Linked DNA regions of Rattus norvegicus. The protein of the gene in region 3 interacts with the protein of the main gene of each other region in a pairwise test. Links are inferred from orthologs where the notes say so. Each region holds a gene or a part of one and is shown on either strand. Other genes may lie near its edges.

Region 1 (3,510 bases), on a different chromosome or scaffold from region 3:
CTCCAGGAATGCCATAGGAGCTTGTAGAGACCTGAGGAGCTTCTTAGAGTTTCTTTCAAGTGCCATCTAGCATTTTAACAGGTGTGTTCCAGACTGGAAAAGGCCTGGTCCCCTCACCCTTTGTTTCACACGAGCTCATGTGGCAAGGTTATGACTAGTCATATCAGTGAGCATCTTCTTCTAAACGAAGTGTCAACCCCCTCATGACATGAAATAAATTGTCCCGGTGTCCTGTGTTTTCTTTTATGGTCCTAGGTTCCCATTAGAGATCCCTATTCAGTCTTCAGGAGACAGCTTAGAAAAGTACGTCTTCTCCTTGATGACTTGGGAGGAGAGAGGGCATATTACATAGGGCTTAGGTCAGCTGATTTTGAAATAACATTTGATACATAAGGTTGAGATTCAGACACCTATATCCGTTGACCTAATCGATGAATGCTGTCAATACATAGAGTTGTACGTGCTGGCTTCTGCTAAGGCAAGAGGGTATGTTCTCTGCAGTGGAGAAAGCCCCAAACTATTCATGATCCCTTTCATAGCAGTGTGTTTCGGACCTTAATATTTGGATGATAGCAGTCAGGAGCTACGTGCTTTTTTTATAGTTTGTATTCATACATTTATGTGGTGGAAATGGATCCCCCAGAGGGGTTAGTTAAACAAGTTATAATCAGTAACTATAGACCTGGGTGTACTGTGAGTCCAAAACCATCAGCTTGGAGAAACCCCAAAATTAGGGTTCTCCTTGACATGGTGGAACAAAGTGTGATACACAGTAGCTCTAGGCCACCAGAGAGACAATGAAGCATCATCAGGAAGGAAAACCTTGAACCAAATGCATCATATTTATTTTATATATGCGTAAACTAAATGCATACACAAAGTAAGTGCATTCATTTTGCAATAGAAAATTATACCACATATTAAAAGAATGCTTCTTAAACTCTTCAACGATAGCAACAAAAGAATGAACATCTCAAACTACAACGTCAGTAAACCACAGGCTGTCATCCAAAACGAACAAGAATGAAAGACAAATCTTCAATACAATACTAGCACATACAATTCAGTATTATTTTGGCCCTGTTCCAAGACATTTCTTTGTTCTGAAGGCTTTGTTGGGGTGCATGGTGCATGTTACTGTGTGCTCGCTCTAACTTCTAAGTTCCCTGTTGAGAGAGAGGTGAGTATGTATTCAAGCTGGACGGATCAGAATTCACTGCAGGGTTTCTCCTGCTCACACCTTAGTCTCTAAGTGAATGTTGAATGTGTCCTGGTCCCTCCCACCGAATGTCCTAGGGACACGGGGGTACCAGTACCGTGGAATTATTGTTGTAATGTTTGACGCATGCTGTTAATATCCTCTTAGATGGAACATGGGATAAGTAAGCACTGCCCTGGAGATAGTAGTGAGTATTTCGATGGTCTGAATATTGTTTAGTTACAATGAGTGAGAAATAGGGTATTTGGTGGATTTTTTTTTTTTTTTTGGCACTAGGTTTGCTCAGAGGGAAGGACGGAGGGACAAAACTAACCACTCACTGCTGTGATTTTTCTTCTAAGATGAGACTAAGCTTTATTTGTTTTATAGCTTGTCAAATAAGTGACCTAATAACACGATACCCAATAAGAGATCTGTTATATTTTCTAAATTAAACTTTTATGCATTCTTCTTTATTTTCTTAACACACACTATCTTTCTGTGAGAGACAGAGAGAGAGTGACTTTTATCGTATTGCAGTCAGTTATATATTCATTGTGGCAAAGATATTTTAAAATCATGAATAGATACTCAATTTTATAAGATGTTTTTAGTACTACTTGAGACATATATGTGTTTTTATGGTTCATTTTGGCAGTATGCTATATCATTATTTATTGACTTCCATGTATATATTGAACCAGGCTTGAATTCCAGGAAGAGATCCTACTTGTTCATGGGTACAATCTTTTTGCTGTGCTGTTGAATTGCAGTAATAGTATTTTATTGAGGATTTTTGTTTTCATTTCTGTTTGTTTTGGATGGCAACCTCCTCCTTGCTGATGTTACAGTTTGGAGATGCTCAGTCGTTTATGGCTGTTGTTGTTGAGTTTAAGGCGCATTGCTGTGTTATTCTTTGGGTATTCAGTGTAATTTTCGCTTGCAGTCTTTGTTTTGAGGTTTTCATTTTAGGTGAGGTTTAATTACTGATTCAGTCTCTTTATGTTATTGGTTCAAGACCCCCCTTTCTCTTTGATTTGGTCTTGGCAGAGTCTGTTAGTTTCTGCTGGGTAATACCTTAACGTATTGGCTTGTTATTCATCAGAGTGTCTATCAATTTATTCAATTTAAAATTTAGAGGATTTTTCGATACTTTACACTTCCAAATGATGGGATAATTCATGCCACAGAACCATAGGTTGTGTAGCTTTTGCTTATAGGATTTAGCTAACCTCACAGATCCATGCATTTATCTAGAAATGGAACTGTTGTTGTTTATTTATTATGATTTTGATGGGCTATTAAAGTGGTTAGCATTGAAACTGTTAACATGCCATCATAGAATTATGCATAAGAGCTTAAAAGTCTTAAAATCGCTAACACTGTCCTCCTCCTCTCCCTCCTCCCCCTCCTCCCCCTCCTCCTCCTCCGCCTTTTTTTATACACAAGTCTCATCTTTTCCATCTAGCCACATGGCCTTTCTCAGCCAGACAGAAGGGAACCTGCAGGCAGCCTCGATAACCCTGTTTTGTTTCTCCCTTTCAGCCGTGCGGTGATGGACCTCCTGGTTGAACTCTGCCTTCAGAACCACCTGAATCCTTCTCACCACGTCTTAGAGATCTGGTCTTCGGAGACCCAACAGCCTTTGAGTTTTAAGCCAAATACGTTGATTGGCTCCTTGAATGCACATACGGTATTTCTGAAAGAAAAAGTCCCTGAAGAGAAAGGGAAGCCTGGCCTAACCAAGGCCCCTGAGGTCAGTGGCCCTGTGCATTGTCTGAGAACATACAGACATACAGACTTACAGATATACAGACTTGTGCATCCGTATGCATGGGTGGTGGCCTCGGTTGGGGTACCAAACACACAGCTCTGTGTCACGGTTTCCTCGTTTATACCTGGTACTAACTTACAGGGTTTGCTCACAGGAGGCAGGACTTTACAAATTTACTAATGTTTATTGTTGCCATACTGATCCTTTCTGTATCATACAAATAGGACCGCTGCAGGACAACGTGTCCATCAGGACCTGCTTGGAGATGGAAGTGTTTCAGTATGGCAGTCACAGGTTCTGTGCAGCACCCAAACACTCATCCAGCTAATATAATCAAGAAGTAGATTTCTCAGATTCACTGTGGTCTGCTTATTAACCGGTGACTGCTTTCTTGACACACGTGTTTCTGGGTTTGGCTCCAGGAGGCGTAGTTCCATAAAAGTGTTTACCATTTTAGAGAGAGGGACTAGAAAGTTGAGTAAGGGACAAGAAGTGGGAAGAACTTGTGAGGAGTTGGGGGAGAGGAAAGAATACGATC
Region 2 (4,225 bases), on a different chromosome or scaffold from region 3:
ATTCCAGAAATCATTGGAGGTGGTTGCAATGAATGAGAACCTTTTATTAAGCACGGGTTATAAATACTAGTTTAATTTTAATGTGTGCCAAAAATGTAAGTCCTTTGTTAGCCCACATCATGTTTTTATGTCTATCACAGATTTGTCACTTGGGGTATCCATTTATATATTCTTTAATTTAGCATTATTTTCTGAGGTAAGCTTTTGGACTCATCAATATGACTTTAAAATAGTTGGCAAGCTTCTAAGAATGAGGAGAGGATATGCTAATACCCTTGGTTGTCAGGTGGGACACCTCCTCTGAGAATACTTGTAGGAACCGAAACTACAAACAAGCAAGCACTGAGATTCCTTTATTTCTGTGAAACTTCCAGGAGGCCACTAAATCTCTGCTGTTCTTTCTTAGCTTATAGACTGTCATCATGAGAACGTCCAGTCCTCAGATCACAGCTGTTGGATGTTTACATCAAGAGAAGCATGCCTGGGAAGACAGGACGAGCTTAAACCTGCCAGGGATTAGAAAGATCACAATGTCAGAGGTGCCATTTACAGGCTAGCAACCGCAGGGGTCAGTAAGGTTAAAAAGAAAATCCAGCACTTGGAAGGTCAGACTGCAGGTAGTCAATCAGCAGAGCTCGTTCCACGAGCTCTCCTCACTTCCGCTACAGCTTGGGCCCTCCCTGGGGTTTTGCTGGCCAGGTATCCTCCCTGTCCGCCCACTGTCCCTCTTGGGTTCGCGGGGCTTCCCAAAGCTATGCTCTGGCAGTGGGGGCTGGAACGAGCCGCCTAGACGATTCCTGTCCACCGGTCTCCCCCGCGGTACCCTAAAGCCGCGTGCCCCGGGGAGGGGTGCGGGGTGGGGTAGGAAATTCCTCCTCGCTCCACGTCCCCGCCCGCTCGCCCTATCCGTCCCCTCTCCGGCTGGCTGCCCTGCTCGCTCCGATGCCGACCTCGTCACCTTCACTTCTGCAGGGCGAGTTGGCCGAGGCGACTGCGAGCTCGGGACTCCCGGCAGGGCTATGGGGCAGGGTGAGTTGGGGCGCTGGCGCGGCGGCCGTTCTTCCGCCGCGCGCTCGCTCCGGGGCGTCCGAGCCAGCCGCGCGGGGGAGGAGCGGAGCTCCGGGTGGAGTGCGCGGAGCCTGGACGGGCCGGGTCCCCTAAAGCAGGCAGCGGTTTGGGAAAGCGGGGGCGCTGTGGTCCGCAGCACCTCCGGAAAAGTTTACACGGGATTCTGTTGGTGCGCAGCGGGCTGCTGGAGCCCAAGCACCAACTGCGGGCGTGGCGACCGTCCCGCGCCCGGTCCGCTCCTCCTCCTTCGCAGCCGGGGCGGCCGCGCGCCGCCCCTTCGCCCCCGACTGGCTGCGGGTTGCGGCCGGGGCGGGGACCTGTGGCTGGCATCGCGGCGCCCTCAGGCAGGGACCGACCCGCAGGTGGAAGCGCCCCGGGGAGGCGGGGCTGCCCCCAGCTGCCGTGGGTCGAGGCGGGCTCTTGGCTGTCCCGCTCCCGCCCTGACCCGCCGGCCTCTCCCACCCCAGCAGTGACGCGCCGCCTCCGAGCTCGAGCCCGCGCCGCGGCCAGCAGCGCGATGGACCGCAGTGCCCGGGATCCCGTACCCCGCAGCGCGCCTCGCACCCCCGCCACGCAGTCTGCCGGCTCTGCAGGGTAAGTAGGGTAGTTGCCCTCCCGGCTGCCGAGGCCTCGCGCGCTTCACCTGCCCGCAGCGAGCTCCCCGCGGGGCCGCCCGGCTCCCGGGCCGACCCACACGCGGGCAGGAGACTGCGTCCTCCCGGGCGAACCGGGGTGGGGGGTTCGCTGGTTTGGGCGAGCTTTCCGATCGGGGGGTTGCGGAAGGCCAGTCGAATGGCAGGCGTTGGGTGAGGAGTCCCGGAGCAAAAGTGGTAACAAAGGGCCCCTTGTTGGGGCTGTGGAGCGGCGGGGGACGACACCTGTAAGTGCGCTCCGGGAAAGGAAGGAAAAGTTTCCACGGCCAAGCGCTCGGGCCCAGGCGGGTGGCTTCTGTCAAGGTGACTGCAAGAAAGGGGCTTCCTAGAAGTCCTCGGAGGGCTCAGCAAGGTGTGCCAGCTGTCAGCCCGGCTTGACAGTTCCGGGAGCAGGCGGGGTGCTCGCCTCTGACTGGGGGTGTGTGTGTGTTGTGTGCCTCTGGCCAATTGGTGATGCCAAAGCCGAGCGCGAAGCCAGTCGCATTGGCAAACACCTATACTTTTTTTTTTTTTTTTTTTTTTTTTTTACCGTCACGTGTTTGAGGAGCGATTGGAAGGGAAGGGGCTGTCACATGGTGAGTTAATATTAAATGAAGCATGCCTTCCTGCCAAATATGCTAAAAATCACTCTGTTAAACGTTTGGGTAAACAGTGGTGAGAACAGGTAGTCCTGCAAGGGCCAAGCAGAACTTGAGAATAACCTTTGTCGTGGTAAACGGTCAAACTACACAACCCTGCTTCAGTTGAGAACGCCCCATTGCTATCTTGTAGCCTCTTTACCATAAAGCACCCCCAATTTCTTTTTTCTTTGTTAATCAGAATCTAGAAATGCCCTAAACAAAGTATGAACATTCCGGAAATGGGAACGTTAAGGAACAGGCGACTTTGTAAGCAATGAATGAGAGTCGTTCAGTTTTTTGTTTTTTGTTTTTTGTTTTTTTTTTTTTTTTTTTTTGTGGTTTAAGAGTGAAGAAGTCATTTTTCCCTGGAACATGACAGGCGTTTCCTTAGGAGCAAGTCACAGCATGTTTATTCGTCAGAGGCCATGCGAGCATTGGCAGTTGTCTAGAGGAAACATGGAAGAGTCTCAAGGCTGCATGACTAATCTAACAGATATTTAGTGTAATGCATACGTAGAGGAAATTTGCAGCGTATGAATTCGTTCTTTTTTTCTCTAAAGTTTGATCTTCTCCATGCAAGTATCCCTATTGCTACAGAGCTCCACTTTTTCTTGGCGGGGGGGGGGGGCAGTTTAGATACTAATGTGTCTCCTTCCATGTATTTTAGCTGTGTGAAATAGTAAATATGTTGATGGGATTCTGAATGTAAAACAAGGCCTGGGGACAGAGCTGTGGGTTTATGTAAGTTAACGATGAACCAGCTTTCACCCGAAACTGAATTAGACTCTTAAGAAAATAGCAGAGAATTCCATTGTGCATTTGTGTCATACATTTACACAGAACGCAGTCACAGATGCTCGAGGGTCAGTTCTTTTGAACAAAGTAGGGGAGGGCAGAGAGCTCTGTGACGGAGCAGCGTGAAGAGCTTTCTAGTGATAAGCCTAGAGCACCCCAGTTTGTATGCTCGAGAACGTAGGGGCTAAACCACTGAGTTCCTTAAGAGCATGAATATAATTAAATGCTCAATGAGTCATTCATTCATTCATTCATTCATTCATTCATTCATTCATTCGAGACTCCCTTTAGCCCAGGGTGGTCTGGAACTGCATTTATAGTTGAGGGTAGCCTCCTGCTTCTGACTCCCAAAATTGAGGTTACAGGCACACACACCACCACACCCCACAGAGGAAAATATTTTAAAGGACCTTTGCACTTACTTTTCAAACTTCAGGGAAGACATCTGGGAAAATGCACCTGTAAATAGACCGCAAGAATACCTAACACTGTTCTTTTAAAAAATACCTAACACTGTTCTTTTAAAAAATTGAGCTTCTAATGGCTCGTCTTCTCCCACTTGTCTAGTCCAAGGCTTGTTACGTCCTTTGAGTATCCAGGATTAGCGTTTGCTTTTGCTTTTTCTAAAAAAAAAAAAAAAAAAAAAAAAAAAGCCCTTTAAAAAAGGTTTAAATTGTGGGAAAATGAGAATATTCAGGAGGTGGCAGGGTGCGATCCTGATATGCTATAATTGTTGGTTTTGAAGGAAGGCTCCTTACTATAGAACTAATTATATCATGACTCAATAACCTAATAGGTGGTGAGGCCTCCTTTAGTTCTTATCCCTGGATATTGTTGTTCAAAAGAAGTCCTCTGTTGTCTGTAATTTTCCAAGGTCTAGGCCTCTGTAACAGGTTATTTGAAGGACAAATCAGTGCAGCTCCACATTTTACGACGGGGTGGGGTGTGGGGGAGGAAATGCTCTGCCAGAGTTACTGAACCAATTAGTAAAACCTGAGGTTTGAGGTGTCCGTTCACTGTGGTAATTGATTTGACTGTCTCCTGACTGTGATCTACATTCTAACATACTGGTGTTGAATCGTTAACTGA
Region 3 (4,184 bases):
AGTCGGAGGTGACCTCTCACCTGGGGCACCAGAAAGCTCCTTAGAGAGAGTGATCTGAGTAGCCAGGCAAAGATCTGACAAGAAAACCAGGCTGTGGGCAGAGCTTCCCAGACCACTGGCAACCTGCACCCCAGCTGTGCCAGGGCCCCTGACAATGGGCTATTTCTGGTTGTGCCTAGAAGAAGAAGATGTCGCATGTGTGTGTTCCCCCCCAGGCTGCAGAGCTGGGTTTGGGGGAGGTGGGGGAGGTGGAGGGTAAGGCTGGAACTTAAAAGCCAAGCCGAGGGTTTGAAGCTGAGTCTAGCCAAGCCCTGGGGTTTGCCACTGTGTCGCAGGCACATTAATGACCCTTTAACCTTTGCACAGCCTCCTGAAAGGTGAACACAGCCCGGAGAGCGCCCCAACCGTGACCAAATGGTCTGAGGTTGGTGGAGATTCGAGAAGGCGGGGTGGCGCAGAGAGGATTCTGCAGCATCTGCGGGGGCCCTCAGCACCCACACCTCCTCTCTCCTTCCACCGCCCACCCCCAGCTGGTGGGGGGGAGGGGTCGGAAGCAAAGAAGGAAGTACCTGTAATCTAAACCAGACATCGCCGGCTGTGCTTCTCCCCAGCCCACTCTGATCCAGAAATAACCTACGCACCAAGCTGGCATCAGCCCACCCATCCCAGCTGGTCGCAGAAAAACACTCAACATCGGGGGGCCAGGCCCCCGCTTTCCAACGATCCAATTTCCTCTCCCTTTCCCCAGGGTAGAGGCCTCCCCTTTAACATCCCCAGAGGCCATCCTGGCACTGCCTGGGTCAAGTCCAAGAGCATCCCAGGGCGCGCGCCCTCCTCTCCCCAGGTACCTGCCCTCGGCTGTGTCCAACGCCATCACACGCTGGCTACCTGCACCCCGCACTAGGGCCCTGGACTCCCCCACACACCCCAACCCTACCCCCGCCCCCACCCCGCACTCTCTCAACGTCTTAGACCCCCTACCTGGGTGCCGGAGCACCGGACACCATCGGCGGGGCGGGTAGCAAAGTGGGCGGCGGCGGCGGCGGCGGCCCAGCCTCAAGCCCGGATGGCTTCCCGGGGGAGGAAGAGAAGGAGGAGGAGAAGGCAGGCGCGACCGCCGCGCGTCTCTCTGGGGCTGCGGGAAGGAGGAAGGTCAGAGACTCCGCGGAGCGCAGCGCCGCGCGGGGGCGGAGGCGGCGCGGATTAGAGCGGCTTCTCCGCGAGCCAATGGCGGCGCGGTGGCTGCGCAGGTGGCAGCGCCGCGGTACCCGGAGGCCGCGCCCGCCCGGCCGCCTGTTCCCGAGCTCGGCGAGTGTGGTTCCTGCGCGCTCCTAATCCCTGCTTCTCATGTAGGGGTACGCGCAGGATGGGGGTTTGCGGTTTGGTGCGATGACCCTCTCCTCTACCTGTGTGTGCACGGATACGCGCAGGACAGGCCCTGGTATGATGACCCCCCTCCTCTACCCATGTGTGTTGGGTATGTGGAGGACAGGAGCCTTCAGGCTAACCAAATAGTGAGGATGCTCTCCTCCGGCCTAGCCCACGGTCCACCCCCACACTCAGCTCTGCCAAGAAGACCTGTGTGGATCCTCAGGCCACAGTTCACCTCAAGGAGGCTTTCTGGGACTTGGGGATCTAAAAGGTGACAGACAGACAAACACACACACACACACACACACACACACACACACACACACACTAGCTGCTTTCATGCCTTGTATTCGAACTGCTTCCAGGAGCCAGGCTGTGGGGCCTGACTTAGCAGAGCACAAGGTTCGTTCAATATGTCCAGAACATTCCATAAACCAGAGAAATGAGACCAGGAGGAGAAAACTGCCCACTTCTGCCCCTCCCTAGCGCAGGCTCGAGAGATGTTCAACAGGGTGCATAGAAGGAAGTTTTCCCGAACCCCTCCCTGGGGGGCGAGCCTCACTGTGAGCTCTGAAGTCCACCAGTCTAGGGACCCAGAGGAATGCCTGCGACAGTGTAGTGTTCGTTCGTTCATTTACCAGGAATTCCGTGAACACTGGTTCCAAACTTTAACTTCTAGGTTAGAACCTAGAAGACATCGCCAAATGAACAGGCCACAGGCGGCATCTCTCAGGGTTTGGACGCGTCAAGTGAGTGGATGTATTAGTCAGGGAACAGAGGGATAGAAGGAATGTCTATTACAAAGGAGCTTGTTAGATCTGCTCGAACGACGACAAGAGTCCGCGCGCTGGAGAGGCTGAGGATACCATAGCTTCTCCAGGACACTGGGTTCCTCAGTAGTCCCAATGTGGCACTGAATGCGTGGAAGGTTCCGGAAGAGCCCCAGGAGTCATCATAGGCCTTCCGGAGACATTGGAAGGTTGAAACGGTGGGATTCTGTTGCAGCAGCGGCTGCAGCAGCAACAGAACGGATACATTCACAAGCATGACGCAAAGGTGGGCAAGCCAACGGCACTATGCCCCACCCCCAGACTTCTTACATCACGCCACCCCAGAAGGTACCGCCCACCTTGGGAGAGTCTCTTTTACCTCTCAGTCAGTCCTTCCGAGAAATGCCTTCCCATGCTTACCCAGAGTCTCTTAGTTCTTCCCAGGTCCAATCAAGTCTCTATTAACCATCAGCGGTTGGTGTTCCACGGAAGGCTGAGGGCTCTGGGCAGAGCTATCCAGTAAGGTTTTCTAGTGGTGCTGAAGGAGAACTGAAGTTCAGGTTAGCCAGATGGCCCAGGAGTAAGGCAAAGCCATCAAGGCCCGCAGCTCTGGGCTGCCTCTCTACACGGGGATACGATAGCCTGGAGCTAATGAGGCCCACCCTCTACTCCTGCCTCAGCACCCTGATTCCGGTTCCCCACACCCCAAACTGGAGTTTACCCTCAGCCTCAGGCAAAGCTGTGAAGCTCACACGGGTGCGACAGCTGTCCAGGAAACACTGACTCAGACTCCTCATCTTGTTAGCCATATGACAAGCTGTCGGTGGAGTCTCTGGGGCCTAGGGGAGCCTCGGACACACCCAGGGCTCTGTTCTGGGGTTCATAGCAATGGTGGTGGTTTTTCTCTCCAGATGGGATGCTGGAAGGCACGAAGAGTACCTAGCCCGCTGCTCAGAACCTAACAGGCCAGGGAAAAGGACACCCATTTTTTTTTTTTTTTCGGAGCTGAGGACCGAACCCAGGGCCTTGTGCTTGCTAGGCAAGCGCTCTACCACTGAGCTAAATCCCCAACCCCATGGGCACCCATTTTTATAACCACAATTATCCGCATCTCCAGTGCTCTCGCCCAGTGTTGTGGAAACGCACCCCTTTAAGACAGAAGCGTCGGGGCTGGGGATTTAGCTCAGTGGTAGAGCGCTTACCTAGGAAGCGCAAGGCCCTGGGTTCAGTCCCCAGCTCCGAAAAAAAGAAAAAAAAAAAAAAAAGACAGAAGCTTCACCTCAAGAGGCTGGTTCCCGGGGTTGGGGATTTAGCTCAGTGGTAGAGCGCTTGCCTAGGAAGCGCAAGGCCCTGGGTTCGGTCCCCAGCTCTGGAAAAAAAAAAAAAAAAAAAGAACCAAAGAACCAAGAGGCTGGTTCCCCACAAAGGTTCTCACTCGGGAGGCAGAGGCAGGCAAATCTCTGAGTTCAAGGCCAGCCTGGTCTACAGATCAAGTTCCAGGACAGCCAGGGCTGACAGAGAAACCCTGTCTTGGGGGGAAAATCCTTTAAAAAAAATTAAACAAATAGGCTCAGTAGTTAAGAGAACTTGCTGCTCTCCCAGACACCCTAATTTTGGTGGCCAACACCCACATGGGACAGCTTACACCTGCCTGTAACCCCAACTCCAGGGCATCCTCACACCCTCTGGAGGTCTCATTAGACACAAACACACAGGCGCAAAAAAACGCACACATGTGAACAGACACACATGCGCTAAAAATAGTCTCTTTTAAAGACCAAACAAACAAAAGCAGAGAGGAGTGAGGGAAAAGACAGCCAGGGGCTCTCTGGGCAGAGCTGAGGTGTGACTGGGGTTGAACTCAGAACGCATGCGCGCGCGCGCGCGCGCGCGCACACACACACACACACACACACACACACACACACACACACACACACACACACACACACACACACACACACACATTCACTCCTGTCCCATGTAACCTAAAATAAAATGTTTCGGGTTTCGGGAACTGACGCGGGATGTCCATACTTCCTA
Region 4 (4,028 bases), on a different chromosome or scaffold from region 3:
CCCAGGAACTAGAACTCAGCGGAGCTGACATCTGCAAGGCTGCAGCCTGGCACTTGGCCACAGCAGGAGAGACCCAGGGGCCCTCCAGGCAACCATGAGACTTCGCTTTCTTCCCTAGGGGCTGCAGAGCCAAAAGCCAAGCTTCTCCCTGGCTGCCGTGGGGAAACCAGAGAAGGGTGGGGGTGGCAGACCAGTTCCTGGCAGGAAGGGGCTGACCAGGCCTCCCATCTGCTGCCCAGTCTGGTCCAGTGCCAGGGCCCTGCCCCTCCCTACCCTGTTGCTGCCCCTTCACCAAAGCCCCACAAAAACACAACCATTCCAAGCTAAGTGTCTCTTGCCAGGGGTGGGCTGCAAGATTCTGAAATAATTCAGCTTTTTAAATGAGTGGGTCTTTTTTTTCACGGAGGATGTCCCCGTGTAATAGCTCTGGCTGTCCCAAGTGCTGGGATTAAAGGCTTTAGCCATCATTAAACTTCTCAAAACTTATTTTTCCTTAACTTAAAAATTGCTTTTATAAGGGCTGGAGAGATCGCTCAGCAGGAAGAGCACTGACTGCTCTTCCAGAGGTCCTGAGTTCAATTCCCAGCAACCACATGGTGACTCACAACCATCTGTAATGGGATCCGATGCCCTCTTCTGGTGCATCTGAAGAGAGGGACAGTGTAAATAAATCTTTTTAAAAGAGTTTTTTTTAAGTTGCATTTGTGTGTATGCGTGCACACATTCACGGAGGCAGGGGTCAGAGGATAACTTTGTGGAGTCATTCTTCCTTCTACCATGTGGATTCTGGGAATCAAACTCAGGAGAGATGGCTTAGCAGTTAGATCAATGGCTGCTATCTCAAAGGAACACAGTTTAGTTCCCAGCACAGACAGACAGACAGACAGCACTCTCACACACATAAAATAATAAAATATACTTTAATAACCCTTGGGTATGCATCCTTGGCTGCAAGTACCCTTCCCCACTGAGCCATCTTGCCAGCCCATTATTCAGCATTTGCAATGACTTGGTTTCCAACTGACTGAGATACTCAGGGATTCTGTCAAAAATTTATCTGGGAAATAATGGACCAGGTGGAAAATAATAAGGGACCAGTCCAGCCTTACTGTGTAGGAAAGCAACAGTCCTCCTCTCTCTTCTCTTCCCACCTCATCCCCAGCCTTCCGCCCCCCCTCGCGCGCTCTCTCGCCCCCCCCCCCCACTCTTGCTCTCTGGCTCTCACTAGCTCCTTCTCTCCCGCTCTCGCCCGCACCAACACCCTCCCCTCCCCATTCCCGTGCAGGTCACACCTACTGATACCTATCTCCAACATCTACCCAAGACAGGCAAATCAATTCCGAGCTGTGTGACTTTGAGGAGCTTCCACGGCTCCTTGAGCCACCCTTCCCCTCTCAAAGGCACATGATATAAGTTCATTCCTGGAAGAATCAGAGTGAGCGAGAGACCAGGGCTCACAGCAGAGCACTCCCAAGTGAATTCTTCCCTCAGGAATCACTAAATTCAGACATGAAAATGAAAACAGGGGCAGGGAGAGTTTGCGGGTATCTCAGAGACTCCTTGCCAGCATGTGCAACGGAGCAAGGGATGCCACGGCGACCACCATGACCCTGAGTGGGCGTTGGGGGAGGGGAACTGAGCCACGAGTGGGACTCGGTGAACCCACATGGGCTTAGCATCACCACAGAGCAGCCAGGGGAACCGGGTAGGGGACAAAAGGCGGAGCCTAAAAGAGAAGCAGTGGACTGATGGTGCTAAGCCACAGGGGGTGGGGGGTTTGAGCAGAAGGAGGGAGTGGTGGGTTCATCCCCTCCCCCAAACCTGCAGGTTCACCTCTGTCTTCTTGAACCGTGCCCGGAGGGTCTTCATCACGCCTGCTAGGGGCTCTCGTCCTGTTTCTGGGCAAGGCGTGGGTGGGGTGAGAGACAGGATGCTGGGTGGTCAGCCACACTGTCCTGCACAACACAGCCTGGGCAGATCCGCTTTGTCTCCTGGTGCAGGTTACTTGTGTTCTCTGAGGGAACTGTCCTCAACTGTAAACAGAGATAATTCCTCCATATCTGGGCAGCTCGGTGCAGCTCCCTGAAGCCGGGGCTGAGAGTGTCTCACAACCACCAGCATTAGCTCAGCAGTTCACAAGGCTCTGCGACCTGGAGTTTGTGCGGTCATTGATGACATGAACTCCCACCACCCAGACACACTTCTCCGTGAAATGTCTATTCATAAAATCGCCTCTCCCAGACAGGACTAACTCCCTCCACAAATGGAGTTTCCTGAGGTCTCCGGACCTGGGTCTCCTCCTATACCTCTAACCTGGGTTTGTATGTAATGGAGCTAGAGGGGAAGACACACTGGACAGTCAGTCCTTTGCAAGAAAGTCAGGTCAAAACTGTCACTACTCTTGGTAAGCAAGAGCAATTATTCAGGGCAGATCCACCCACCATCCATCCAACCACCCACCCACCCATTCATCCACTCATCCACCCACTCATCCATCCACCCACCCACCCATCCATACATCCACCCACACATCCACCCACCCATCCACTGACCCCACCTCCTCTACTAATCAGTCTGACGATTCAGGTTCACTTTCACCCCACACCCACCATCAAGGGTGGGTGACAAAACACCCAATAGTTGTCCACATGCTACCAGTGGGAAGGAAATCGCGGCAAGGCAGCAAGGAAGGCCTGTGGATTTAAGGGTTTGCCTCCTGGAAGAGGTGACACAGCACAGGTAACGCTGCGCACTGTGCCTAGGCCACGGCTCCCGCGTGGGATGTGTGTGCCTGTCACAGGTGTGCCGATGCATGTGTTCAGACTGTTGCAGGCAACACCCATGGGGCAGCACCAGCACCCAGACTTCCCTGGGCCTTCCTCACCCGCATCCCCCTACCTCAGGCGACTCCAAGCCGGAGCCCAGCCTCCAAGCAGCCTCTCTGGTTACCCGCTCCAGCTGTGAGCTGCCAGCAGCAGAGTCTAGGTGACACCCGATCAGGTTGGGGGGCGGGGGGAGTATGCGCCTGCCCCAAGGGGACGGGATGAGCCAAGGGAGGAGACAATCTGCTGTTGGTCAGCTTGCTCAGAAGGGCAGCCCAAGGACGACCTCTCCCATCTCCCTGTACACTCCTGCCTCCTCGAAGCCTTTCTTGGGGTCCCCACGAGGGTCAGGGGGCTTCAGTTGTCATATGCTGCCATTGACCTGGACCCCCAGTCACCATTACCATGGCCTGGTCCTGTGTCTGTTGATTACCAACAGGCAGAACGGTCAGATGGTGCCTCCCATCTCTAGATGGCTCACGGAAGCAGGATATCACAGGAGATTTGTGAGCCTCCAATCTATACTCTTCACCTCTCTCCCTGCATCTCTGGGCACCTGTGTACCACGTGGGAGTAGCTCAGTGGACCTGACCCTATGCTCTGTGCTATCCCAGGAGTTGCACCCCAGAAACTAACCCGGGAAATGTTGGCAGGGGGCCCAGGGGTCTTTCCTCTGCTCGAGAACCTCAATTGCTCATTCATTCTATCCTGTAGCCAGAGACAGGCAGACACTGGATGACAGTCACAAAGTAGAGACCCATAGGCTAGGGTATCATCCAGCCTAGCGTGGCTTCGAACTTGCTGTGTCCCGTCCCGCCAGTGCTATAAGCACTCAGGGCAGGGTTCTGAACACTGAGAACTGTGGTAGAGGTTTGTTTTGTTTTGTTTTGTTTCTGGGTTTTGTTGTTGATGCTTTGAAACAGGGTCTCACTACACAGAAACGCTGGTCTGAGACTCGCAATCCCCCTGCCTCGGCTTCTGTGAATGGCTTCATCATTTTTCTGGCTCTGGTCCCCGGACAAGCCCGACCCCTGGGTTGTCTCTGCCAGCACTAAAGACTGCGCCCGCTGCATCAGAAGGGCGCACGCGCTCTGGAAAGAATGCTGTTTACCCCACCCCACGCCCAGGCACGTATTTTTCCGGACCGTCCCTTATCCACTTCCGGCGGAAGCGGCCTCAACAAGGGAAACTTTATTGTTCCCGTGC
Region 5 (4,179 bases), on a different chromosome or scaffold from region 3:
TCAGGGAACCGACCCAAGGCTCCGCCACTGCCGGCTAGCCGCCCGACAGCCCGCCCGCCTGGCGAGCGCAGGCTCTTCTTCCAGAAACTGCGAGGATTGGAGAGCACTGTTTGTGCACCACAAGGTCAAGTCGGGAAGTGGAGTCGGAGGAGGAGGGGCGAGAAGGAGAGGGTGGGGAGAGGGGCGCCCCGCTTCTCTGCCAAGTACCAACCCAGGGAAGTTGCCCCTCGGTTTTTAACCCTTTGCGGTTATAAAAAGCACGAGGCAGGAGAAAGGGGGTACCCGGGGGCAAACTCCTCCTGAGGCTAGGACATGTTGCCACCCTGCTAGCCACCCACCCATCACAGTGCGCCTCACCCCCCCCCCCCGGAAATGCAGGGCAGCACCGGGCGCCAGGAGGCACCCGCGAGGGGGAGGGGGCAACGAGCCCAAGAAGGGACCCCCCTCTAAGGACTGCCCCTCTCTTCCGGAGGTCGCCCACAATTTCAACTTTCCCTACCTAGGATGCTAGTTTGCATTTGGTGTGGGTGGGGGGAAGGAGGACCGCGCCCCCTCCCCCAGCCCCATGCGCGCCCCTCCCCTGCACTCCTGCCTGCACTTTCTGCTCACTTCTGGCGCTGCAAAAAACGCCACGCGATTTATTCGATTTCGATTTTAAAACCAGTGATTCCGAAACCGGGCGGAGGGCGAGGGTCTTCCAGCACCGGAGTCCCTGGGGGTGGGGCGGGCGGGCTGGGTACTCCGTGCAAGCCTCGTTTCCTCCGCGAGTGTCGCCTCCAGGCTGTTATTTGCAAAGAAACGTCTTTTTGACGCAGGGAGAAATGGCAAATTTTAAGTACGTCATTAATATGGCGCCAAAAGATTTTTTTAAGTATAAGCTTGCTTTTTTTTTTTTTAAGGTTGCGGGGGGCTCCGCCTGGGTCTGGGGCGCGAAGGGGGCGGGGTGTGAGCAGAAAGTGTGAGTGAGCGAGTGGAGGGGCGGGGTATGTGTGTGAGTGTGTGAAGTGTGAGCCGACCTGATGGGACTTGCACGGGCTCAGCCGGCGCTCGGGCCCGGCCCTGGGGACAGGGCGGGCTGGGGGCGCCCCAGAGTCCACGAGGAGTCCGGGCCCGCGTGCAGGCGGACGGGTGACCGTGCAGGGCACCCCCCCCGGGGGGGCCGCAACGCTACCTGGGACTGTCGCCGGAGCCAAACAACTGGGAAGGGGGGGGACACGACAGGGGGGTGCCGGGAGCGGAGATCCGAGTGAATTAGAAAAAAGTGGCTACTCCCCCTCCCTCTCTTCTTGCCCGCCCCCACCCCACCCCCACCCCAACACATTTTTTCCCCCTCTAAAGAGATCACAAGGAAGTCTTGGTTTAAAAAGAAACAGAAACATACACGGGGGTTGGTGAATGGTGCCGACCGCGGCCATCGCAGTTGGAGGCTATTTTTTGGGGGGGTGAGTAGCGTCCATGGAGTTACTTTGCGCCCACTCCTAGTGGCACCAGCTCTGGACTGGAGGGCTGACCATCTTCCCAGCAGGGGTGCGGGGCTTGGGGGACGCTGCGGCCCGGTCGCCTCCCTCGCCACGACCCCGGATGGATGCGCGCCCCCCGCCCTCCCGCGCCGGCCCCAGGAGCTCCTGGCTTCAGGAGCATCCTTCCCGCGCCGGCCCCCGCCGCGGCGCGTAGCCGAGGGCAGCGCCCCTCGGGAGGGCACCGCGGAGCAAGGTAAGAGCCAGCCCCCGGCGGATGGGCCCTGCGCATCTCCACGGCGTTATTTTGTGGGCTTTTTTTTTTTTTCAACAGATCTGCCAGTGCTCCTCGCTCCCTCTCTCTCTTGCTCGCTCGCTCCCTCTCTCGCTGGCTGCCTGTTCTAGGAAGCCAGCGCGGGGGGTGGGGGGGGGGGGGACGCACAGCACTGGGGAGAGAGATTGCGCATGTTGGTCAGCCGTGTTTTAAAGAGTACAGTGCGGGGAGGCTGAGAGGGGCGCATGCAACAACTTTTGGAAGGGTGAGCCTGGCGACCTTCTTTATTAATGACTGCGGCAAAGCGCCCCTGGGCCGGCGAGGGGGCGCGGGCGGGTGGGGGCGCTGGGGCTGCAACTTGCCTCGCGGGCTCCGGCCGGCCCGAGGGGCTGCGGCGCGACCGGGGTGCGGGGTGGGGAGGCCGAGCGGCAGGGCACCGGGGCACGGGAAACCTGGAGCCATCTGCCCTTCTGTCTACCCGAGTTTCATTTTGTTGATACGCAGCACGTCCGGGTGCCGAACCGGGCTGAGCCGATGCACATGACCCCGCGCTGGGCTCACGTGCAGCCGGTCCAGTCCTAGACACCTTCCGGGGGCCACCGCCTCCGCCCTGCGCCCCCTTTCCAGGCTGGGTGCACGCGGGAGCTGCACGCGGGGGCAGCATGCTCGGTTCTTGGGTTCAGAGGCATTGCACAAATTAGTTTTTTTTTTCTTTTTAAGGGGCGGGGGACAACGTTCCCAGGTGAGTGCTGGGTGCGCAACCCCGGCAGCCAGGGTGCATATTGGGGTAGTGGACAGCAGCTTCCCGGTGCTGCGCGGGAGTCCGGTGGGGGAGAGGCACTGCGAGAGTGGAAATGTACCGGCGACGGCCGGAGCGGCGGGTGCGCGCTCGCGGGGCGACGGCAGGGGGCGTGGCCCTTGTTTACCTTCTCCCAACTCTGCTGGTTCGCGTCCCGCTTCAGGGACGACTCTGCAGCTCCCCCCCCCCTTCCCTCCGCCCTTACTAAACTCTGGGTGGTGCCTAGGAGCAGCAGACAAGTGGCGGGCCATGCCTGGGACACACGCACCTGACCCCAAAATGAGTGACATTGCAGCCCCCGCCCCCACCAAACACTGCTGCAGTCCTTCTGCCGGATCCCCGGCCCCGCCCCCGGCAGTGGCATCTTCCCGGCTCACCTCCTTCCTCCCTCTCCCTCCCTCCTTCCCACCCACTTGCCTGCGCCTGCGGAGCGGCTCTCGCTCGCCCACTCCCCGCCTGGGTGCAGACTTGTGGCTCCCCATGGTCCCTTCCCGCCCATCCCTGGGCTCTTGAGATCTCCCCTTCTTCGGGCAAGGGGTGATCTTGGGTCAGCTTGGAGACTCGTAGCTTTTCCGCCGGAGGGTGAGGACATCTGCAAAACCGGCTTGGAGGCTTCCCTCTACCTTCTAGGGAGGCCCAGCCAGCTCAGCCCGGTCCCCCTACTGCACACCTCTGCCCCGCTCAGTACCCCCGCCCCCACCCTGGGCTCAGTTGCCCTTCCCCAGTCCCCTAGACCCCTCCCCCGCCCCGGGCGCCAAGCCCACCCACCTCCTGGCACCGCCCCCGGCCCGAACCGCCTCTTGCCCTTCCTACGCCTGGGCCGGAGCCCCCCTCAGCCACCTCCGGCTCCTCCTCCCGGCTCCGGCGGTCGGAATCACGCCGGCGCGCCTCCAGCCTGCGTGCCCGTCGCCGGCCGCCAGGGGCAGGCTGGAGGCGGGCAACCCTCTTCTAATCCCCTTAGCCGCTGCAGCCGGCCTGTGCACTTTTTTTTTTAACCAGCTTGGCCTCAGGCCTCCTGCTGGGGGGCGGGGGAGGGGCGCCGGGTTTCTTTATGCCCCAGGGTACATTGCACTCGCTATCCGGAGTCTCTGCAGATTTCCAAACTTCACCCTTGTCCCAAGCACCCCACCCCCACCCCCACCTCATCTGCAGGATTCCGAGGTACAAAGTTTTACCCAGAGGCAGTTTGCAAGAGGTCAATGGGAGGGATTATGGTTGTTTTCAGAGAAGGTGCCAGAGGGGTTAGGGAGGGGCGGGGGCCCCGGTTTTGAAATAAAGAGTTCTGAGCCAGGAGGAACAAGTTAGGATGCTCCCTTCACATTTATATTTGCAAACACACCGGAGCTTGGGAGCTGGGTTCTCCTCCCAGAGTGGCACTGTCTCTCCTGTCACTGGTAAAATTCCCAGTAGGACATTTGGCAGAAGATCCCCGCAGAGGACTGCCAACCGAGCCTGGCCCTGTTTTCTGGGTTCCCAGGGTGCTGACTTCTTTTTCCCCTCGATTGATTTCTTTTGCCCCCTTAAGGGCCCCAGGCGAACACACCAGCCCTCCAGGCCCTCCTGTCCCATCTTCCTTGGGCGGGTTGGAACTTGCAGAGCAATCTACTAAGCGGACAAGGAAAATAAGAGAATGAACTGTAAGGGGGGGA

Evidence for each region.
Region 1: the proteins of Pacsin1 (region 3) and Cobl interact in binary tests that used the Homo sapiens proteins (3 or more experiments, as listed by UniProt). The link is inferred for Rattus norvegicus from reciprocal best matches to the Homo sapiens genes PACSIN1 and COBL.
Region 2: the proteins of Pacsin1 (region 3) and Cobll1 interact in binary tests that used the Homo sapiens proteins (3 or more experiments, as listed by UniProt). The link is inferred for Rattus norvegicus from reciprocal best matches to the Homo sapiens genes PACSIN1 and COBLL1.
Region 4: the proteins of Pacsin1 (region 3) and Ankrd24 interact in a two-hybrid assay, tested with the Homo sapiens proteins (2 studies listed by BioGRID and IntAct). The link is inferred for Rattus norvegicus from reciprocal best matches to the Homo sapiens genes PACSIN1 and ANKRD24.
Region 5: the proteins of Pacsin1 (region 3) and Jade2 interact in a two-hybrid assay, tested with the Homo sapiens proteins (2 studies listed by BioGRID and IntAct). The link is inferred for Rattus norvegicus from reciprocal best matches to the Homo sapiens genes PACSIN1 and JADE2.

The regions. Positions count from the first base shown.
Region 1 is NC_086032.1:91,183,700-91,187,209, reverse strand, and holds part of Cobl (protein cordon-bleu), read left to right. Parts: intron 1-2,743; coding exon 2,744-2,954; intron 2,955-3,510.
Region 2 is NC_086021.1:70,319,783-70,324,007, reverse strand, and holds the start of Cobll1 (cordon-bleu protein-like 1), read left to right. Parts: upstream 1-1,421; 5' UTR 1,422-1,535; coding exon of another isoform or gene 1,536-1,585; coding exon 1,586-1,662; intron 1,663-2,232; exon of another isoform or gene 2,233-4,225.
Region 3 is NC_086038.1:5,718,554-5,722,737, reverse strand, and holds the start of Pacsin1 (protein kinase C and casein kinase substrate in neurons protein 1), read right to left. Parts: upstream 2,810-4,184; 5' UTR 2,562-2,809; intron 1,079-2,561; exon of another isoform or gene 982-1,078; intron 1-981. UniProt on the Homo sapiens protein: Plays a role in the reorganization of the microtubule cytoskeleton via its interaction with MAPT; this decreases microtubule stability and inhibits MAPT-induced microtubule polymerization.
Region 4 is NC_086025.1:8,729,106-8,733,133, forward strand, and holds the start of Ankrd24 (ankyrin repeat domain-containing protein 24), read right to left. Parts: upstream 2,806-4,028; 5' UTR 2,610-2,805; intron 2,034-2,609; 5' UTR 1,870-2,033; coding exon 1,834-1,869; intron 1-1,833. UniProt on the Homo sapiens protein: Component of the stereocilia rootlet in hair cells of inner ear.
Region 5 is NC_086028.1:36,620,902-36,625,080, reverse strand, and holds the start of Jade2 (E3 ubiquitin-protein ligase Jade-2), read left to right. Parts: upstream 1-1,371; 5' UTR 1,372-1,585; coding exon of another isoform or gene 1,586-1,713; intron 1,714-1,843; exon of another isoform or gene 1,844-1,996; intron 1,997-2,339; exon of another isoform or gene 2,340-2,473; intron 2,474-4,055; coding exon of another isoform or gene 4,056-4,139; intron 4,140-4,179. UniProt on the Homo sapiens protein: Scaffold subunit of some HBO1 complexes, which have a histone H4 acetyltransferase activity. Acts as an E3 ubiquitin-protein ligase mediating the ubiquitination and subsequent proteasomal degradation of target protein histone demethylase KDM1A.